2 linked regions of the Drosophila melanogaster genome follow. The protein of the gene in region 1 interacts with the protein of each later gene in a pairwise test. Each region holds a gene or a part of one and is shown in the gene's direction. Other genes may lie near its edges.

Region 1 (9,434 bases):
TTTAACACGTGGGAAATTGTAGAAATGTACATAAATATAAATTATAAATCTTAGAATATCATTATAATTGAACTAAGTTTGAATCATATGTTGTGATCTTACAGCCCTGATCACTCAACTAGAACCACATTACTCAAAAAGTTAGTTTTTAAAATGTTTTAATATAAGCTATTATGTTGAACAATCTGTGCGGATTAGAATTGAAATCATTTAAAAATGCATGTATCTTATCTTATATCTTTACTAATTCTTGTTAAAATAATGAGCATAGCTACTGGTTGTTTTAATCAGCTCAAGCTTAATCATTAGTTCATTTGATCGTGCCTTATAACTATTTTCAAAATAATTAAATATTCTTCTGAAACATTTCCAAAAGTTTAAGCAAAATATAAAATTCATTTTTTTTAAACTGCAAGACTTTAATGATTTACAAACAAATACAACTCACTTTCCAACTCAAAACTTAAAGTTCGTAATAGCTGTAATCTCAGTTAGTAGTTGCAGCTGCAAGGTGCTATTCCATTGGCCACTACTGTACTTGCCTACGAACTTTTTATCTACGCGTGTGTGCATAAGTTAGTATGTGAAAAAAAAAGTTCTAGGGCAGGTTATAGTTTTAACTCTTTCACTTTTTTTTTTGCAAAAACCTCTAAAGTGAACATTAGATAATGAGCGCTGGAGCGACCACGAAAGAGATAGCGATAACAGCGAGAGAGACAGAAAGAGAGTGATAGAGACAGAGAGAGAGAGAGAGCTCGACTGATAAATCTAATGTTTGTCATGTGAAGCGAACCGCTTTTCAGGGCCTTGCAATTTTTATGCACTTATGACATGAAATTGCTTTGCACACACTCATAAAAGCTCTGCGACTCCCTCTCTCTCGCCTGCTCTCTCCTTTGCTCTCTCGGTTTTCGGCGGCGGGCGGTAGAAGGGTTGGCAAGGGGGGTGGCGACGGGGTGAGTGCATGCGCACCATTCAAGAAATGCATTGCACTTGTCGCCCAACACGCGCACTAATACAGCCACACATACACGCACACATGCACACACATTTTCTGCCCACAGACTTACATAAACTTTTCCATAGAAAAAAAATGTATAAACCTTCCAAATGACGTCAATCGCTCTGTAAATTGTGGCTTTTGTTAACTGGTTGTTGCTGCTGTTGTTGTTGCTTCCTTTCCATGCCAAAAACAGAAGTTTTTCGGCTTTTCGAGTGGGCTGTATGCTCATTGGCATCACTTTTATCTGTTTTGGGAGCCCAGTTTGTGGATCATCGACCGTGAAATCAGCGCTATTTATGTTTATTCGCTCCATCGATCTTTCACAACTCGAATTTTCACCCAAATGCTTAAAAATTTAAAAAATAAAACTGTTGATTTTCCCATTGAACATAATGTATTTATTCTTGTAACTTTAACATGATATAAAACATATTATTTTTTTTTTAATTTACTCACAACATTACAAAATTGAAATAGATACAATTGAATTTAACAGGAATAGAAAAGTGTTTAATATTGTTGATCATCAATTACATAAAACATTCCAGACCCATAATTCATACACATGAAAATGCAAATCTTCTATATTTAACTGTAATTTAAACTCGTTATCTATAGAAAATTGTTTAACAATGTCTCAATTGTCTTTGCGATTTATTTGTTTATTTGTTATGAGTACAACTTACAAGTATTCATTTCCTTAACTAAAGCCTCTTACTCAATGAACGCCAATAAATATTACTTTTACAAGTAAAAATATTATAAAGTTTATGATTTTTAAACACAAATTTCTTGTTTTTCTGGTGTAAACCTTAGAATATTACACCTTTTGCCAGTTGTAATTTAGAACCACTGGCGCCACCTGTGGGCCACACTTGTCTCTTTTTCAAAGCAGAGCAGAAGGGCAAAATGCTGACCTTAATATGCATTAATTGTTGCAGCAGAGCGATTCTAATGCGCTCACTCTCATTTTCCGACTCCCAATCGCTCTCTCTCTCTCTCTCGCCCCCTTTCTCTCGTTCTCTTTCTCCAGCGGGTTTCTTTCTCCGCTCCCCCACTCTGTGCATTTTCCATTTACGTGCTTTATGCTTTTTTTGGAGCAGCGCGCTGTTTCCATTTCGATCCCAATTACTGTTGTTGTTGTTGTTGTTGTGGCCTCTTTGTTGGTGTGGGGGATCTTTTGTTTTGTTTGTTTGTCCTTCTCTAATTGTGGAACCTGTGCGTGTGTGTGTTTTTAGAGATGGCACGTCAACGGGAATTTTGGTGGGTGGTGGGGGCATGTTAAATCAATACTGATTAACTGGGATTACATTGGGGAGCATTGAAACTCCCACTTTAATATGAATATTTATAGGAGCATTGAGTTTGCAGCTAAAGCTATGTATCTAAATTGCTCCAAAAAAGAAACCTTTGAAAACAATGAATGCATTCGAACATAAAATCAACTTAATATTCATATGAACCTATTGTATTTTTAGCTATTCTACACGTTAATTACACTACCTTATAAAATAGAACATAATCTTAAATTTAAAGTTTTGCTAATTTATGTATTTGTACAATGTACTTTCATATTTATGCCATTTATAGGAGATTTTTCCGCAATAAAATGATCACAGAAACTCTTAAAAGTTCTTCCTAAAAACTTATGAAATTCTTTGTTCCTGTGCAATTTAAGATATTTAGATTTAGATTTAGAGTTTGGGCAAAATGAATTCTAAATATTTGAAATTGTATATGGAAGGTATTCTATAATATTTTGGCATAAGTATATATATTTAGATTTGACCGATTAACTCAAATGATTCAGCCTCGTGACACGAAAAGTTCCACCCGCCACTCAATCCGCAGTGCAAGTAACTAAGCAAATGCGATATGTGTGTGCTTAAATGCATATAGCATGTTTATGGGTCTGCCGAATGGGGTTTTTCGAATGGAGTAGGGTGCGTTTGTGGGTTTTGTGGCGGGGGGAAAGGGGGGATGGGTATTTCGGTGGCCTATGTGCGCCTATAATTATAAGGCATATACACTATATACATATGTACATGGGCATAGCATAGCTGCGTGTTTTTCGTCGGGTAAATAGGTGCACACGTCAATTGCTGGAACGACCTCAATGGGTTCCCACTTCCAGGCCCCCCCTTCCACGGCCCACATTCGTTTGATTTTTCCGCACTGGAAAGTGGGAAAACCGGAGCAATTATTTCCCGATCCGATCATGCTACAATTATGTATGTTTAATTTTTTTTTTTTGCTGCTGATGTTGTGTTTCACTATTCACCATTCCATTGCCGTGGAGCTAGAACATGCAATTATTTTAATGTATTCGGCCTTGGGACTCATGAATGTCAATTGGCACGTAAGTTCTCCATTAGCTATTAGCTTTTACCCGCGGCTCCACGCATCCAAATGCAAATCTCTATATGTATATATAGATATGTACCTAAATGTGTACATACAAACTCATATGGTTTACGCTGCAAATCAGTCGTTTTGTATGCTAGCTTCGTTTTTTTTATGGTTTTTTATGGGGGCTAGGCGACTCCCACCCACTCGCACATATTTATACAAATTGAGACAGCGGAAAAAGTGCAACTCATTTGAATGGTTTCGCCTTCATTATGCAAATACGAGCACTGTTGGTGGCGAATATTTATTTGCTCATTATAAATACATAGAGTTTCTGGCATTTTAGCAATCATGACTTGCACGCACACGAGCATTAAACGAGTTTCTAAAATTCAGTGTAATGATCGAGTTTTATGGGACTATTGCATTCGAATTTGAACTGAGTGGGCGCCAACATATCGATAATATATAATGACAGTCGATATTTTCATAGCAACCAGCTTTCGCTGGGCTCGCTGCGCAACTAGGTGGCAGCTCTGAAATGTATATTACATGTAAGAAATCCTTTTACAAACTCAATAAATAATAATAAATGCTTGAAATAAATGTATATTTCAATACTTCTAAAGCATTTTATATATTATGTTTTTATTGGTATTACGGAAAACCTCCAACTTTCAATTTTAAAGCATTATATTTATAAATAAAATAATTCTACAAGCAAAAAAACTCATTTAATCCTGGAAGCACTTATGGATTTCACATTATAAAAGAACTGATTAAATGTATGAAGATACATCATTTTATTAACGTACATTTTGTAATATTTAATTTTTTGAATTTTCAGTTTCTGCGCGCCCATATCAAAGTCCGTAGCAAAAAAATCAATATAGGAAATGCAATAGGTGCAAGCGGGACGACCAGCTGAATCGAGCGGCGAAGCAAAGAAGACCCGATAAGGCGATGCCACCTAGTTAGAAACTAATAAGTAGTTGCATAAATAATACAGTTTTTTACACAATAGAAAATCCAAATGAGTTCTCACTCAATTTTAAAGCAAGTTATCTACTATTTGGAAACACTACCCAAGTAGTTTTCAGCCTTTGAGCACCTTTTGCTACATTTTAGCACCTTGCGGCGATCTGGCAGCGCCACACGAAAATGGCGAACACGAGCACTCCGATGAACGACGAGCTGAAAAAATAATTATTATTTTAAATTCCGTTTTGCCAGCGAAATTCGGTGCGTGCGCGAAAAAGAGTGCGGAAAAGCGCGGTTGAGAAATTTAATCGGCCCATTATGAAGCGGTCAAAGTGCGGCGCCAATGCAAATGGTTAGCCAAATGGCAAGAAATATGTAGCGATAGCGTGCCAGCCCAGTAAAATCAAATAGAATCAAATTTAAGTTTCTTGCTTTGCGAATTATGAAAAACCAATCGCAATGCGTGTGTGTGTGTGTACGTGTGGTGCGTGCGCGCGTGTGTTAGTGAGCGAGCGTAGAAGCAGAAGGCGTAGCGAGAAATAAAAATAAAAAACCATACAATAATTGATTTAAAAAAAAGAAAAGCAAAAAGGCCAACAAACGAAAAACAGCAGAAGCAACAAAAACACACGACAAGCGGCAGCAAAAACAACAACACAAAACTGGCGGTAAATACGCATACAGTACGATACAAAAAAATAAACTAGAAGCAACAACAAATACGCAACGTAACGGGAACTCTTTGACGTATTTCCTCTATTATTATGCAAAAAGGCAGGCGGCAAATTGCAGCAGCAGCGAAAATCAAATATAAATAGCGAAAAGGTAAGGACAGAGGCCCCACAAACTAAACTAAAAATAAGAGCCGAACATATTTGTTGTTTGCAGAGTGCAGTAAAATGGGTGCAAATAAATGGGCAAAAGAAAGAAGCAACAAAATACTGCAAACCTTTCAATTGGCTTCAATTGGCAAATGTAATTGTTCAGCATTACATTTGCATTACACCGCTCACCAACTCTTGCTCCCTCTCACTCTCTCTCTCACTGTGTTCTCCGCTTTTGCGCTCCCTTTGCCCCTTTTACTTTGCAAAGTTTTGCGACGAACAAGAACAATAATAATCAAAACAAAAATGTTTAAAATCCATTTTCTTTCGCCTCTCCTTCACCCACTCACTCATTTCGTAGCGCGCTGTCATTTGTCTTGCGCCTTTGCCTCCCCCCCTCTTCTTCTTCTTCTTCTACTTTACGTTGTCCCCTTCTTCTCTCTCTCCCCGCAACATTGCCGTCTCGCTCGCTCGCATGCACACCATGCACGGGTGAAGAGGAGACGTAACGAAAACGAAGTTGGTTTGCCTGGAATGCCACAGTGGGTACAAAAGGGTTTGATAGTGGTCACAGTCGACACAGTGGGGTGGGTATTTCATTATTCTGCAACAGAAACTCTTGTTATTCTTATTAAGTCAAGCAAAACTAGCAAAAATAAACATTTCTAGCCGGCTAAAAAAAAACTCAAAATCCAATCCAAAATCCAATAAATATTTAGTACAAAGTGCAAGATTGCTAATAAAATAAACCAAAAGTATAGCACTTACTTTTTGTAGGAGATGAAGGTTGTTAAAAGCATTCATATATAATTAATACGAATAAATTTATTTTATTTAAGTTCTAAATTATACGTACTTATCATTTTATATAAAGATTTACATTGCCTTATGCAGTGATGTTACAATCATCAATGTAGATCTTATAAGAATCAATAGGCCGTCCGTAGGTCGGGTAGGGTGTAGAAACATAAAGTGCAGTGAGGAAATATTAAAGGGCAAGAAAAAGTGAAAAAGCAATAGCACAAACATACAAAAAACACGAACACACATTATCCATTTGCCAAATAAACATGCACAAAGTAAGAGAAAGACGGGGAAAATGCAGAAGAAGAGGCTCCAAAAGGCGGCAAATCGCTGCATGTGTGTGTGTGAGCGAGAAGGCAACAATGGGACGAACAATATAAAAAAAAAAAAACGTGGAATTGGTCTAGTAATGTAAGAAGAAGAGCAGTAACAACGCGGACGAACGGACCGCATAATGCGCGTTTAATGATAAGTCTCTCTGTCCGAAACGAAGAGAGAGACATGGAGAGAGCGCGGCTGAGAGGCCCGCCGATTTTCGAGTGGGTGGCAACACCTAGTCTTCCTCTTTCTTTCACACCTTTTCTTGCCGCCGTTTTGTTTTGATTGCGAGTCTTCTGCGAAATGAAATGCAAATACAGTGGAGCAGCCTTAAGCTCGTAAACTTTTACATATACAATAAATGCAAATAATTTAAAATAAAACAAGTTTGGAAAATGCAACTATAAATTTTCTTATTATTTTTCTTAATTTGACTTCGAAATTTGTAAACAAAGATAGATTTCGAATAAATCAAATCAAAAACATCTCTTTGAGTATCCACTGTGGCAACTGTAACTTTGTAATAAAGAAATCCCTTGAAAATCTGACTTATTGTTCGGCATAAAATTGTGGTTGCATTTTAGCCTCCGCATTGGAAGTTGCAAGCAAAAGTTGGCATCTCCTCTCTGTCCGCCTCTTCGTCGCTCCATTGCCTCCCATTTTATTTGCACGGCAAGTTGCCTCCTCGAGCATCCTTTCAGCATTCCTATTATTCTTTTTTATGTTCCTTCCTTTTTTTTTTTGACAATGCCCCAACTAGCAAAAACAACTTGCAGGCACCAATACGTGCCATTGAAAACGAGAAAGGGAATTTAATCCGAAAAACACTGATTTCAGATACTCTAACTGCTACTTGGGGATTTTGTTTGAATGTTAATTAATTTAAAAACTAGTAGTAAATGGAAAAATGTAGTGTAAAAAGAGCGTTTTATTTGAAAATACCATTTATTTTGTTGTAAACATGTGACCATACTATGATACCCTTTTAAAAGGGCATACAAAAATGAAGTTTCACTGAAAACTGGTTTCAGTTTCGGTTTTCTTCCTTCTGGCCTGGCCCAACATTTTACATGAAAATGTGCAAAACAAAACCATTCCGGCGGTGCTAAAAACCACGCGACATGACCAGCACTAAATAAAGTTAAAATAGTAACTATTCGTTGAGCTCATAAGCTTTAAAAAAAAAGGTAACTTATGTTCGAAAATAAAACAAAATAAATTAGCTTGAATGGAATGTTCATTCATATACAAGTAATTTTGATTCTCTTCGGTAATCATATTCATTGGATTATTTTTACTCTAAACAGATTGGGAAAGCATACTAAATTGTTTTTGGTGGGTTAAACTTAAGTTAAATAGGCTGCTACAGAAAACCTTCTAGGGATAGAAACTAATAAGTTTGTTTTGAAAATCAGGACTTCAAATGCATTAGCATATTGTGATCTAAATCTCTTGAAAGTGCTAAAGTCTCGGTTCAAAAGTAATTAAAAATTGTTCTTCAATTCATACGAACTTGAATGAAAACGTTTTTAGTTTTATTATTCTTATAGAGTTATCAAAATAGAGAGTTGAAGGGAACTTAATACTTCAAGAACTTAAAAACTATTTTTATGTTAGCTGTTCAGGGTGCTACAATCGTTAATTACCATATTTCCCATAGGGCATTTACAATTCGACCTGCATAGCCTGATAGCCATTGACTATTCCTCCTACCTGTCTTCGGCATAGTTTATCCACCCCCCACCCCCCTGCCCGCCACCTCCCACTTTGCGTCTTATTCCCTGTAACTCGTTGTAAGGCGCTGTAAGGCTCTCGAACACAATGGACCGACTGGCTGCAACTCCTTTTGTGGCATCTTCAACATGTGGTTGGTGGTGGTTCAGTTGCATCGGGAACGGCAATTCGCCAAGAACTCAGATAGGAGGATGCAGCCAGTTGTCCTTAAAGTCTCTGTATTGATTGATGATTTGCCATTGCAACTCCTCGAGTGAACCGCATTAAATTGATGATTTTCTTCGGCTTTTCCCGCAGTATACTGGAGTATACACACATTTCCGCAGCGTGTTGAGCACGCCACAAGCATAAACAAAAGTGAGCAACAGGAATTCAGCTAGGATTCGGCGTGAAACGAATACGAAAAACCATACGAAATGGCAGCGGTTCGAGGACATCAGTATTTCAGTCTGCGCTGGAATAACTACCAGAACACGATGACGTCCGTGTTTCAGCAGCTGCGCGAGGATCTCTCCTTTGTGGACGTCACTCTGTCCTGCGAGCATGGATCCCTCAAGGCGCACAAGGTGAAGTATCTCGATATATGTATCTACACTATAGTTATGAAGCTAATCAAACTTTTGTTCAAAAACTCCAGGTCGTCCTGTCCGCCTGTTCGACGTATTTCCAAAAACTACTGCTCGAGAATCCGTGCAAACATCCCACAATTATCCTTCCCGCCGACATTATCTTCACCGACCTGAAAACGATCATCGATTTTGTTTATCGTGGTGAAATCGACGTCACCGAATCGGAATTACAGGTGAGTCGATATACTAGTTGTTAGTTTTTGCAGGTGATTCTAAAATAGATTTATCATTGTAAGAACGATATAATAGAGAATATATATAGAAATACAAAGGAATTTCATCTGAAATCGGAAGTATCTGATGTACGAGTATAATTATCTAGATTTTCATGTTTATATTTTATCATATCTTTCCAAATGTGTTGCCATAAAATGGGTTTAATTAGGCGGAAGTATTTATTTATATATTTCTCGCAATTGAAAGGTGTCGATATGTGAATGTTTCTGTTTTGCGGATAAGTTAACTGTATTATGAGACTATTTTTGAAATCTTTATTCCTATCTCTAATACCCGTTAATCTTTATATTTCGTAAAAACCCGAATGAAATGAAAATACACGATTATGAATAGGCGTAAAATCGAGCATATCTAGATTTATATATCATTTGGATATAATTCTATTTACTAAACAACTGTGCTACAATAAATGGGCTATTCTACCGAAACGAGAAAGTTCTAACGTTCAAATTCCAGTGGCCATCAGCTATGAAATACACTGCACCCACAATTACCACCTGCTAATCGGTTTGTCAACAAAACAAAATAACATCGAAATAGCCCGACCACAAAAGT
Region 2 (10,868 bases), 7.6 Mb from region 1:
CTTCAAGAGGAGTTCGAAAAAAAAGTAATATATATATATAGAGTTAAAGTTTGTATATAGAAAATTATAAGGAGGGCAACCATATGTATAATTACAACAGCCAGTTTCCAGGTGGAATTGCCTTGTCTGGCTAACTCACCGCTGAACTGTCGCGCCTTGGCGGCGGCCACGGATGAGCCGCTGCCACCCAGTTGCTGCTGCTTTTTCAGAGCCTCGTGCTCGCTCCGTAGGGCGTTGAGTTCCTGCTCCAGCTCCTTGACCCTGAAAAATAGACGTAGAAGATGATATAGTTTGTTCATTCGAACGTAACGACTGGCGTCGTGACGAACCGGAGTTCCTCCTTGGCTAGTTTGGCAAACAGGACTTTACGCTCCTGCTCCATGGCATGCGTTTGCTTCTCCAGTTCCTCCTCCATGCGCAGCGACTTTTTGCTCTCCTCCTCGAGACCCTCGGCAATGGTATCCGAGCGCTGCTTCTCCTCGGCCAGAATTTGGGCCAGATCCTCCGATCGTTTCCCTGTATAATCCCATAGATATTATTGTATGAGCAAAGTGGATATCTTCATATCTTATCTTCATACGGTCATACGCACCCTCTTCAATATACTTCATGAGGATCTTTTTGCGCTCCGCAATCAACAGCAGCACAATCTGCTTTTGTCGATTGCGCTCGTACTCGAGCGTCTCCTGCAGCTTCTTCAGATCCTTCTCCATTTTGGCCACCTGAGCGCGCTCCTCCTCTAGGTCCTGCTTCAGCTTGTTGCGCTCCAATTCCAGGCCGTAGGTGATGTCGTCACCCTGAGCCGTGGTGTTCTCGTGCTTGCGCTTCTCCTCCTCCAGCTCCTGGAGCATACGCTGATTGTTTTCCAGCGATTCGGTCAATATGTTGACCATACGCACATGCGTGGCCCTCTGCTTGCTAACCATCTGATACTGCTGCTCCATTTGCTGCTCAATGATCTGGCGCACCTCCATCTCCGCTTGCGCCGCCTGCGTAGACGATTCCCTTGATATCAGATTGCCATTGAGTGCGATCTTGTCCCGGAATATGGCCGCATACGGATCGTTCGGCTGCAGTCGCTTGGTGCGCAGCTGTGCAATGAGCTGCTTTACCCGCTCGTTCCTCAGGGCGGCTATGCAGACATCCCGTGCCTGCAGCTCGCCCTCCAGGTAGTACAGCATCTTCACCAGCTCGCTGTGCGGCATCTCGGAGCGCGTGCGTCCGTTGGTTGCGGTAGCACTGCTGGCGCTATTTGCCACCGGCATCACCTTGTGCACCACACCGGGACCCGGTTTCATGGTCTGGAACTCGTGGTTGGCGCTCACGGTGTCGCCGACCGACATTCCGGATCCGGAACAGTTCTCAGTGCCGTAATCCGCGTCCGTCGCTGGTGCCTCCGCAAACGTATCCGCAACGCTGCTGTTCGAGTTCTGCTCCATTGCCGCCGACTCTTTCGTGTGGCTCCCGTCCCGATATCCAATGCCCAATTCCCGATTCCGGATTCCGAACTCCCGATCTCCACCTCCGCTCAGCTCACGGCATACAAAAAAAAAAGTTTGGTGCGTCGCAGTTCGCAAATTACACGGTATGCAAGCTCTCTGCAATATTTAACTTCTGGCCCGGACTCTGTTTAAGCCCGCTTTCAAGGCAAGTGGCTTTGCGCAAGCAGCAATCGCCACAGGAAATTATCTTACAATTTCTTTGTCAATTTGTTGCCCGTGAAAAAGTGGATACTTGCGGCAGTGCTGCCGATTCAGCTTTATTCCCGTCAGATCTGGCTTAGTCGCAGGATAGTGCTGCGCATGGCGGGAAGATAAGAACATAAACGTCTGTTTTTTAATTAGTCAGCATTTTCTTAAATATCCAAACGCACTTTATTTGAGTTATATTTTTACACTCTTTACTATACTGTTAAGTTAAGCTTATTGTATCTAAAGGTGCTATGTTCATGATATCCAAAATCCATGTAGCCATAAACAGCTTTTATCTTTTATTAAAAAACGGCAGCACCGATTATGTACGCTGCGCTGCCAACTCGCTTTAAAAAAGAGTAGCGAGTAGCCAGTGTTGCAAAGCACGTTAAGCAAGGGTCTGCTTTTTGGCGCCGTTACGGGTTTTGAAACTATATTTAAATTTATAAGTTCATAAATATAATATATAATAGCACAAACTTTATTATAAAAATCGGGGTATGCTGAAAATAACTAAAGCGGTGCAAATTGCTTTAGTTTGGTAGAATATATTATTAAGTAATTTAAACAATTGTATTTATTTACAATTTATAAACAATTTGTTTTTTATTTTTTGTAAACAAAGGGCTTGGCGGTGTTGTAGGCCAGGGAATACCTTATGTGCTTGCCAACCAATCGATCGGCTAAAGGTATTAAAGCCGGTTCACGTCTGTAAATCCCTGCCGCCTTTGGTGTCCAGGCCCGTAGACGACACTCCGAGTGGCCCGGCAGCAGGATTCCCATCCAGCCCGCAGAGCTGAGCGTAATATCACAGTTAAGCCTCGTTTCCTCGTTCCTTCCTTCACTTGCCAGCACAATATCCCCATCCTTGCATTGCAATCCCGGCCAGCGTCGCAGGCGGGCCTCCAAGTTCTCGCTAGCGAAGGGAACACCCAGAAAGGGCGAACCCACGTATCTTTTGTACACGCTTTCCGCCTCCTGTGTATCTGCTATCATGATGGGAAGATGCTCTGAGGCAAATACAAACACCTTCAGCCAGTCAAAGTGTTTCCTTGGGCTTGTTATTTCCAGCAGATCCAATCTGGCCAAACCGCCCAGTAGTATGCTCATCTGGGGCCGCAGCCGAAAGGCGCGCGGTCGGATCATGGTGGCGGGCTGCAGCTTTACCAGCTCCTCGGCGGTGAGCAGGGGAGATATTTGGTCGGGTTGCATCACACCCGGTGTGTCGTAGACCCAACGCGCTTCCTTGTACTCCTTGCCCCGATCGTTTAGCGTTGTAATCGGTCGCGAGCCACCGGCCATGGCAAAGGCATCATGGAGATTTTCGCGTCGATCGAAGGTGCGTCCAACCGGAGCCACTGGTTGAGCAGCTGCCGCTGAACCCGTTTCCCTTGCCACTGCGCGACGCTCCTTTTCCATTTCCGCCTTCTCGCTGCGCTCCGAAACCAATCTCTTAAAGCGCTGATAGACTCGATCGTTCGATGGACGCAAGATTGGAAACCGCAGCAGTTTGAGTGTGGTGCCCGGCCACGGACAGGTGGTGGCCTTGCGCACCAGGTCACTGGCCTCCGGCCGGCAGTAGTCCGAGTTAAGCAGAATGTTGAACAGCGAGCTCTTGCCCACATTGGTGCAGCCCACCAGATAGACATCGCCTTTGTAGGCCCACGTTTTGTGCAGCTGCGTTATTAGCTCCTCGATGCCATAGCCCGTTTTGGCGGATATCAAACTGACATTCTTGATATTTAGACCATTTCCACCGCCATGCTTGATGAACTCGCGCTGCAGAGAATCCTTAATATGCTGAAGATAGATGTTGGAGTCGCGCGGCAGCAGATCGACCTTGTTGCCCACCAGGAAGACGGGTCGCTTTGCGCCCAATATGTTTTGCATGCCCGGCCAAATGGAGCAGGGAAAATCGAGAAGGTCCACCAGAACAATAGCCAGTGCAAATTTGTCTTGAATGCGGGATATGGTGTCCACATAGGTCGATGGGGCCACCACCACATCCAATGCGATGTTGTAGTGGTTCAGAAAGTGACAACGCTTGCAGGTGATCGTTTGCAGTTCCTGCTGCGTCCTATCCCTGAATATTTCACTTGGTATATAGCCTGGCAGGGAGGCATTCGTGCAATGAAGGTCTGCGCCGCAGCCGTTGCATGGAACCTTTGAGGCGGGTAACGAAGGATCCGGTGTGCCCTGCTTATTCCCTCCCTCCTGGGCGCCCTGATAGAACTCGTAGTCGTCCATCCAGTCGTCGGGCAAATGCTGTTGTGTCTCAGGAATCGAGAAAGAGGGTTTTATTTTGGTCTCCAGAACAGAGCTGTAATGAACGTGCTCATGATCCTTGTACCGCTCTCTGGCGAGCAGCCACGCCCTCTGCCGAAAGCTCTGTCCCACTTCAGCGGCGGTATTCTGCCGCCTCGAACATGTGATAACCACATTTTTATTTATAATTTTATATAAACGTGTGGTTTTAAACATTTTGCAATGCCCACAAGAATTCTCACAGTGTCAGACTAAAGCCGTTTGCTACGAAACCATTTACATAGTCAGGGCTGCTAGCCGATAGATCTGAACGATTGTTATATTATTTGGCGTACAAAATAACAAGCATCAATTCAAGCAATGCTTTTTGTGTTATAAATCGAATAAAAGATATTTCAGTACATTAATTTGTGTTCATTAACTGGAAAAAAACAAAACGCATCGAAATTAGGCCGATTCATATCGAACAATCACGAGTGTATCGAAAATCGAAATCGGTGAAAGAGAAAAAAGAAAGCAGCGTTAGCGAGAAAGCAGAGGTGAGTTAAGTGCGGGACAAAAAAAAAGCGTGTATGTATTAAAATTGAAACAAAAAGATATAGAAAAAGCGTGTCCACGGCGCAATTAGCGTGCTCCTGCGGCGGTCGGCAGGCGATATACGCATTGGTAAAAGTACAGAGTACACGCCGAGTAAAAAGCAGCAGCGCACAACAAATAAAATGATTAGGAAAGTGTGTGGAAAAAAGACAAGTGTATGTGAACGGCGATTGTATGTGTGCGTGACGTGACTGTATGCGTGCTGCTGCTGCGTGTATATGAAATAAAAAGTAACGCGAAGCGCGACCTAATTTTAACCAAATATTACAATAATATTTGCATAAACAAAGGCGGCTCGGTTAATGTGACGCCAGGCATTTTGGTGGTTCCTGCGGCTTTCCACGAACGTTTGCCGACGCCATTGTCTGACCAAAAACAAAAGAAAAGAATTGAAATAGAATAAATCTCAGACGAGCACACTATTCCGTCGAGTGTAGAGTTCTTCCCGATTGAGTAATGCAATAACAACAAACGGAGCTGCTCAAATTGTTGAGAGTGTTGCAACTTTCGTTGGAACTCGTTTTGAACCGTTGTTGTTGTTGTTGTTGTTGATTTTGTCGCTCGCATCGCTCACTCACTTACTCACCGACTCACTCGCTCCTTTCCATTCTCCTGATGTTACCAAAACTGGTCTTCAAGAAGCAACAATGCAGTTTCTTGACGGGGAAGGGGAAAAATCAATAGTTCGGAAATTAGACAACTTTCAACATCCATGATTCAACGAAATGCACTCAGCCTAGAAGAAGCTACCGATAACCCCGGGCGCAAGAGCAAGCGAGATAGTTGCCGCCGCCTACCCACACTCGCACACAGCCACACACTTACACTTATGCAGCTGAATTTCCAGCGATGTCTGCTCTGCCTTTTAAGTTGTTGTTGTTGTAATGTAATTGCGAAATCATAACGGCAGTTGAAAGTTGAGAGCGCTTAGCGAAAGAGAACGAGGGACACAGAGAGCGTGAGACTAAAGTTTAAGCTCTGGCGGCAAACTATATGCCCTGCTCTCCCCCGCCCACGCAGAAACATACAGCCGGCTGCCAGTGTAGCGCATATGAGAGTCGCATCAACAACAACGCTATTTCCTCAAGAAGAAAAACACATGTTGGCCGCACAGTGGGATGGAGTGGGAGTGAAATTAAGACAAAGTCACTGAATGGAAGTGCGAATGGTGCCGCCATCTTGGTTCTTTTTTGGTCAAAAATCACGGAATGAATGCTATTTAACTGGAGTGCGCCTAAAAATACATTGCCATCGGCAGCTGCAGCGTGCATCGCGTGCAACAGACTAATTCCGCGTTCTAAGCCACTGTGCCGCATACGAATTCAAATAAGCAATAAGTACACATGTGTGTACGACTGAAAATGCAGAAATTGCCTTGAAAAGTGAAAGGCATTCAACAGAGCGAGCCAGCGACGATTTGATATTTTTGCCTCTTTGCTTAACCTTTGCTGGCAGCTGTTTGCTGTTTTTATTTAGCGCTGTCTCAGCACTTTGACATTTTCCAGCTCACTCACACATGTACAGAGTAACAACGCTGTGCATTCCGAACTCCCATTTCCCACTGCACAAACGCTGCACATGCGCCGCAGCACATTTATATTTGCAGAATACTTTTGGCCAAGAGACGTGCTGTTTTGCAATGCTCTCGTAACGTTCACTGCTAATTTCGCCAAGCTGTTGTTTGTTTGTCTTACTCTGCCTTGCCGTTACCGTTCGTTCACTAATGCTGTCTGTTTACTTCTCTTGCAGAGTGCGTCAAAGAAAACCCAAGCGAAAACCCACGGATTAAGCGGTCCGCTGCGAATTAAGACCATCTAACGGTGAACCTTTCGGTCACTAGTCCAAATTAAGCCTCCTGCCCACCCCCCTCCCAGCATTCTGTTCAGCGAGCGCGACGCCCCCACAAAACAAAAGCTTCTTCATGATGTCGTCGGATCAACAGTTCTTTCTAAAATGGAACGATTTTCAAACGAATATGGTGACCTCGTTCCGTCACCTGCGCGACGAGAAGAGCTTCACAGATGTGAGTAACCAAATGAAACTTTCCAGAAGCGGCGATGGAAAAACTATTGCAGTCGAACTATTAGTTAGAATGATGATATTAGATGTCAATATATTTTGAAGTTACTTATAAATTCAGTCAAAATCAAGCCATAGAAGTTCGACTGTAGTTAACCAGTCCCAGGGGCGCGCTGAGGTTTATTATGCTACTCTTGGCCCGATTGGCTCGCGGCCGCCCCTTGTGGAGGGTCAGTCACCGGCTGAGCTCAGTTGGTCTGAGTAGCAGATACCTGGCCCTCACGCTATTTTCAATTCGTTTTTCTTTTACCTGTGTTCGTTCTTCGCTCTGCGTTTTTGTTCAATTTGTTGCGGTGAAAATGCCTGGCGGATCTTACTGATTTCCCAATGCTTATTGTTCACAGGTAACACTCGCCTGCGAGGGCCAAACCTGCAAAGCCCACAAAATGGTGCTTTCCGCTTGCAGTCCCTACTTTAAAGCGCTACTGGAGGTGAGTTTTTCACGCGGTAATAACTAAGCAATCGTTTGATAATGTAATGTATGCACCCGCAGGAGAACCCATCGAAGCATCCGATCATTATCCTGAAAGATGTCTCCTACATTCACCTACAGGCTATACTGGAGTTCATGTACGCCGGTGAGGTGAACGTGTCCCAGGAACAATTGCCAGCATTTCTTAAGACCGCCGATCGCCTCAAAGTGAAAGGCCTCGCAGAGACACCCAGTTCGATAAAGCGGGAAGGTTGATGGTATTAAACAATAATCGAAACAAAAAATACATAATAAATAACAACAACCAACTATAAGAAACTTATATGTACGCAAGAAAACAAAATTCCAACCAGCGGCAAAAGAAACAACATTACGAGAACGACATTTGGTATACAAATTCATATAAGAGTGCACGAGGAGGATGAAGAACGCCAACAAATGACCACACAAAGCTAAAGCTGGACAGATTGAAATGATTAGCCTGTAAAGTAGAGGTGGAGGCCAAATCCGCCCGCCCACTCCCACACCCGCTCATTCACATCTGATCAACCAAATTGCAAAAAAAAAAAAAACAACACTTACCGACAACCCCACAGAACTCGATTTGAATTCTTTTTGTTTAATTTCTGCATAAAATAGTTTGTAATATATTATTAACAATACAAACCACTCTGTATAAATAAAACGATATGGACAGCAGCCCCTAAAGCAAAACAAAACATAACGAAACGAAACAAAACAAAAAACGCACTTTTGTAAAGTAATTAAAGAAGATCCATTTAAAATATATAAAGATAATTATAAATATAGTGTGAAATGTGCAAGTAGATGGAAAAAGCCACGACGGGCGCGAATATTACAACACATTCGGTTAGTTTTTAAGCCACTAACTACAACCCCAGACATGCCACGCCTCCAGACAGACAAACTCATTTTCATCTATATTTAAACAATAAAATAGAAACAAATGCAAAATTGTACTTCAATTAATTGTGTGTGGACAAGCGCGTTTTTCCCCAACTTCTGATCATACGCGAGATACATACATATATTGTATTAATAACAAAACGAAGAAAAGGTGTTTCAGTGCGAAGCTAGCAGTTCTACACAGTTTAAACAAAAGAGTAAGGAAATACGTTAGAATGAAAAATACAACTTGAGTAAAAACTATACTTGAATATTATTACATAAAGTAAAATATTTATATGTATGTATATGTATACATGTGAGCATAGATTTAAAGAAACTACGGTAAATAAACAGAATAATTAAAACAAAAAAAAAAAAAAAACAAATGCAAATCATCCTGAGCTTTTCATTAAATTACGATTCGAAAACCGGTCGATTTGCATGTCTGCATTTATTTTAATAGTCTTTCATAACATCCTTCATAAGCTTCGTACTTTGTATACAGAGTAATTCGTTTACAAATTAACAAAAATATGTTCGCTTAGCTTAAATTACACTAATATTTGATATATTGCCGATTGGATCTCGCTTGCTGTTGCACATGCATGCAGCCAATATAGATCAAGATGCACAATAAGCCACAGTTCCTAATTATTGAAACAGTACGCATTGCGCGTGTGCAGTTCGAATGGATCGAGGCGCATCTTCTCCTGGTTATCCTCAACGAAACGCGTCACATCCGCCACGAGATTGGGTCGCTCCTCGGCGCTGGCGGCGCACGGCGACCAGATCTTAATGTTATGGTCAATGCCACTGGTGGCCAGCATGCAGATGCTCGGATGCGGCTGCACGCAATTCACGATGGCACTGTCCGCCCGATAAACGGCGCGTATCTTGCCCGTGTCTCCCTCCCAAATGTACATGTTGCCGTCATCCGAACCAGCGGCTATGAACTCGCCCTGGCTGCCCAAATAGTTGGCCTCCTTTATGTCCGTCGTGACGTTGCAGTGGCCCACATAGCGTTGCATATAGTCGCGTGCCGTGGAACGGAGATCATATTCGGCGTTCTTCAGACGCAGGTAGCGGAAGCCATCATCCACTTCCACCGGCTGTAGCTCGGGTGCCTCGGGGCTCTTTGACTGTCGTCGATTCTCCTTGATGTCCTTGTTCAGCATGAGCACGCCGTGATTGTTGGCGAAGTCGGGGAAACGCTGAATTAGTGCCTGCAAGCACTGATCCGCATCCTGGGGTCGATGCAGCTCAAGCAATGCCCTGGCCAGCCGAAAGTGGGCCTTCACATAACTGGGATCCAGACGCAGGGCCTCGTGGCAGTCCCTAAGTGCCGCATATATATCACCAAACCAGCCGCGTCGCATTAGAGCCGTCGCTCTGTTCAGATAGAGGACCTCTCCTTGTGGATATTTCGCCAAAGCCGCTGAGTAAGCATCAATTGCATCTACAAGTTTGCCGTTCTCAAGAAAGTCATTGCCCTCCTTCTTATACACCTCTATTTCGGTTGGCAGCGAGCGACTTCTGTGTGGCATCTTCACCGGCTCCTCCTCGTGAACGAGTGTTGATGTGAAGGCGGGCAGATCGTAGAAAACCGGAGGCTCAGCGTGATTCAGATCAAAGCGGTAGACGTGCTCGCAGCCTATGTTGACCAAAAGCTCTGTGCCATTGCCATTGAACGTAAGATAAGTGATTCCCCGTGGCTCGTGGACAATGTTCCGGCTGATGTTTTTCACGATCTGTCCGGGTGCATAGTACGCCACGCAGGCAGAGAGACCTTAAAGGGATAAGAGTTCAATATGCATATGTATGAGCTGCAGCGCCTACAAATTCAAGTACTCACCATTGCCGTTGGTGGAGGGCAGCTTGCGGCGATCGTACACCCGGGCAAAGGGATCGTTGGTGCCCACGGCCAGGTATTCCGTCCTTCGGGGATTTATAGCCAGACATTTGGCCTCTGTGTTCTCCAACTGATCGTGCAGGTTCAAGAGCCTGACACCAATACCTTCCTCGGGACGGCAGCGATGTGGCTCACGTATATCTAGCTGCAGGATGCAACCATCCTCTCCCGCCGACCAAAAGACGTGCGGCGAGTCCTGGGCGGTGGCCAAGCGCTTCGCCCGAGAAAAATGGCAAATGCAAGAAAAAAGGGTCTCGTTCGGGTCGTTGATGTCGTAGACGTAGATGAACTTATCCGCTGCACACGTAGCCACAATGCTGTTGTTGGTCTTGGGCAGAAATTTTACAGAGAACACATTGCCCAGATGCTTGGTCCTGATGACATGAACAAGCTTCTTTCGGAACGGATCCCAGATCATCACACGATAGTCGTCGGATCCGGAGGCCAGCCACATACCATCAGTGGTCCACTCCAGACAGTTGACGCAGCCCTCGTGACCGACGAGCACTGCCTCCTGCTCCAGCCTGTCCACGTAGGCCGGCGATGCCAGCAGACGTCGCCGGAGCATCTCGTCCAGCTCATGACCGTATTGCTGGCGCTGCCAATGCAAGGAGCTGGCGTTCAAGGGCGTGTGCTGGCGCTGATAGCGCGAACTAGAGTACTTTACGCGATACAGTTCATCGCTCGACATTATCTCCGACTGCTGTGGATAGGATTATGACACTTGTTTCCGTTTGTTTTCGTCTCGTTCTCCGTTTAATTCATTTTGCATTCGCTGATTTCCCCTGCCCCGCTTCGCCCCCCTTCCATCAACAACTTTGCTGTTGTTGACACCTGTGCGCGGCGTTGCCAGGCCAGCGCGTATCGCCGTAACGGTTTGCGTTAGCTTACGGGATCGAACAACCAAATTTCAGTTATGGAAAAAGTATTTCTTTTTTTAAACACCCGAGAAGTGAAAGATTAAGTAGAGTCTAGCACACAACTG

The links.
Region 2: the proteins of psq (region 1) and lolal interact in a two-hybrid assay, tested with the Drosophila melanogaster proteins (one study listed by BioGRID).

What each region holds. Positions count from the first base shown.
Region 1 is NT_033778.4:10,553,376-10,562,809, forward strand, and holds the start of psq (pipsqueak), read left to right. Parts: upstream 1-4,512; 5' UTR 4,513-5,001; exon of another isoform or gene 5,002-5,158; intron 5,159-8,310; 5' UTR 8,311-8,429; coding exon 8,430-8,579; intron 8,580-8,650; coding exon 8,651-8,815; intron 8,816-9,434.
Region 2 is NT_033778.4:18,151,600-18,162,467, reverse strand, and holds lolal (lola like), read left to right. Parts: upstream 1-4,449; 5' UTR 4,450-4,526; exon of another isoform or gene 4,527-4,708; intron 4,709-5,575; exon of another isoform or gene 5,576-5,721; intron 5,722-6,088; exon of another isoform or gene 6,089-6,302; 5' UTR 6,303-6,474; coding exon 6,475-6,576; intron 6,577-6,976; coding exon 6,977-7,063; intron 7,064-7,125; coding exon 7,126-7,320; 3' UTR 7,321-8,373; downstream 8,374-10,868. Other genes in the region: Naus (nausicaa), read right to left, coding at 140-261, 330-516, 593-1,439; CG10914 (uncharacterized protein), read right to left, coding at 2,298-4,172; adp (adipose), read right to left, coding at 8,622-9,760, 9,827-10,574. UniProt on the Drosophila melanogaster protein: Required, together with Trl, for maintaining the repressed state of target genes including homeotic genes Scr and Ubx. May also be involved in the activation of homeotic genes. Binds to a DNA Polycomb response element (PRE) at the bithorax complex.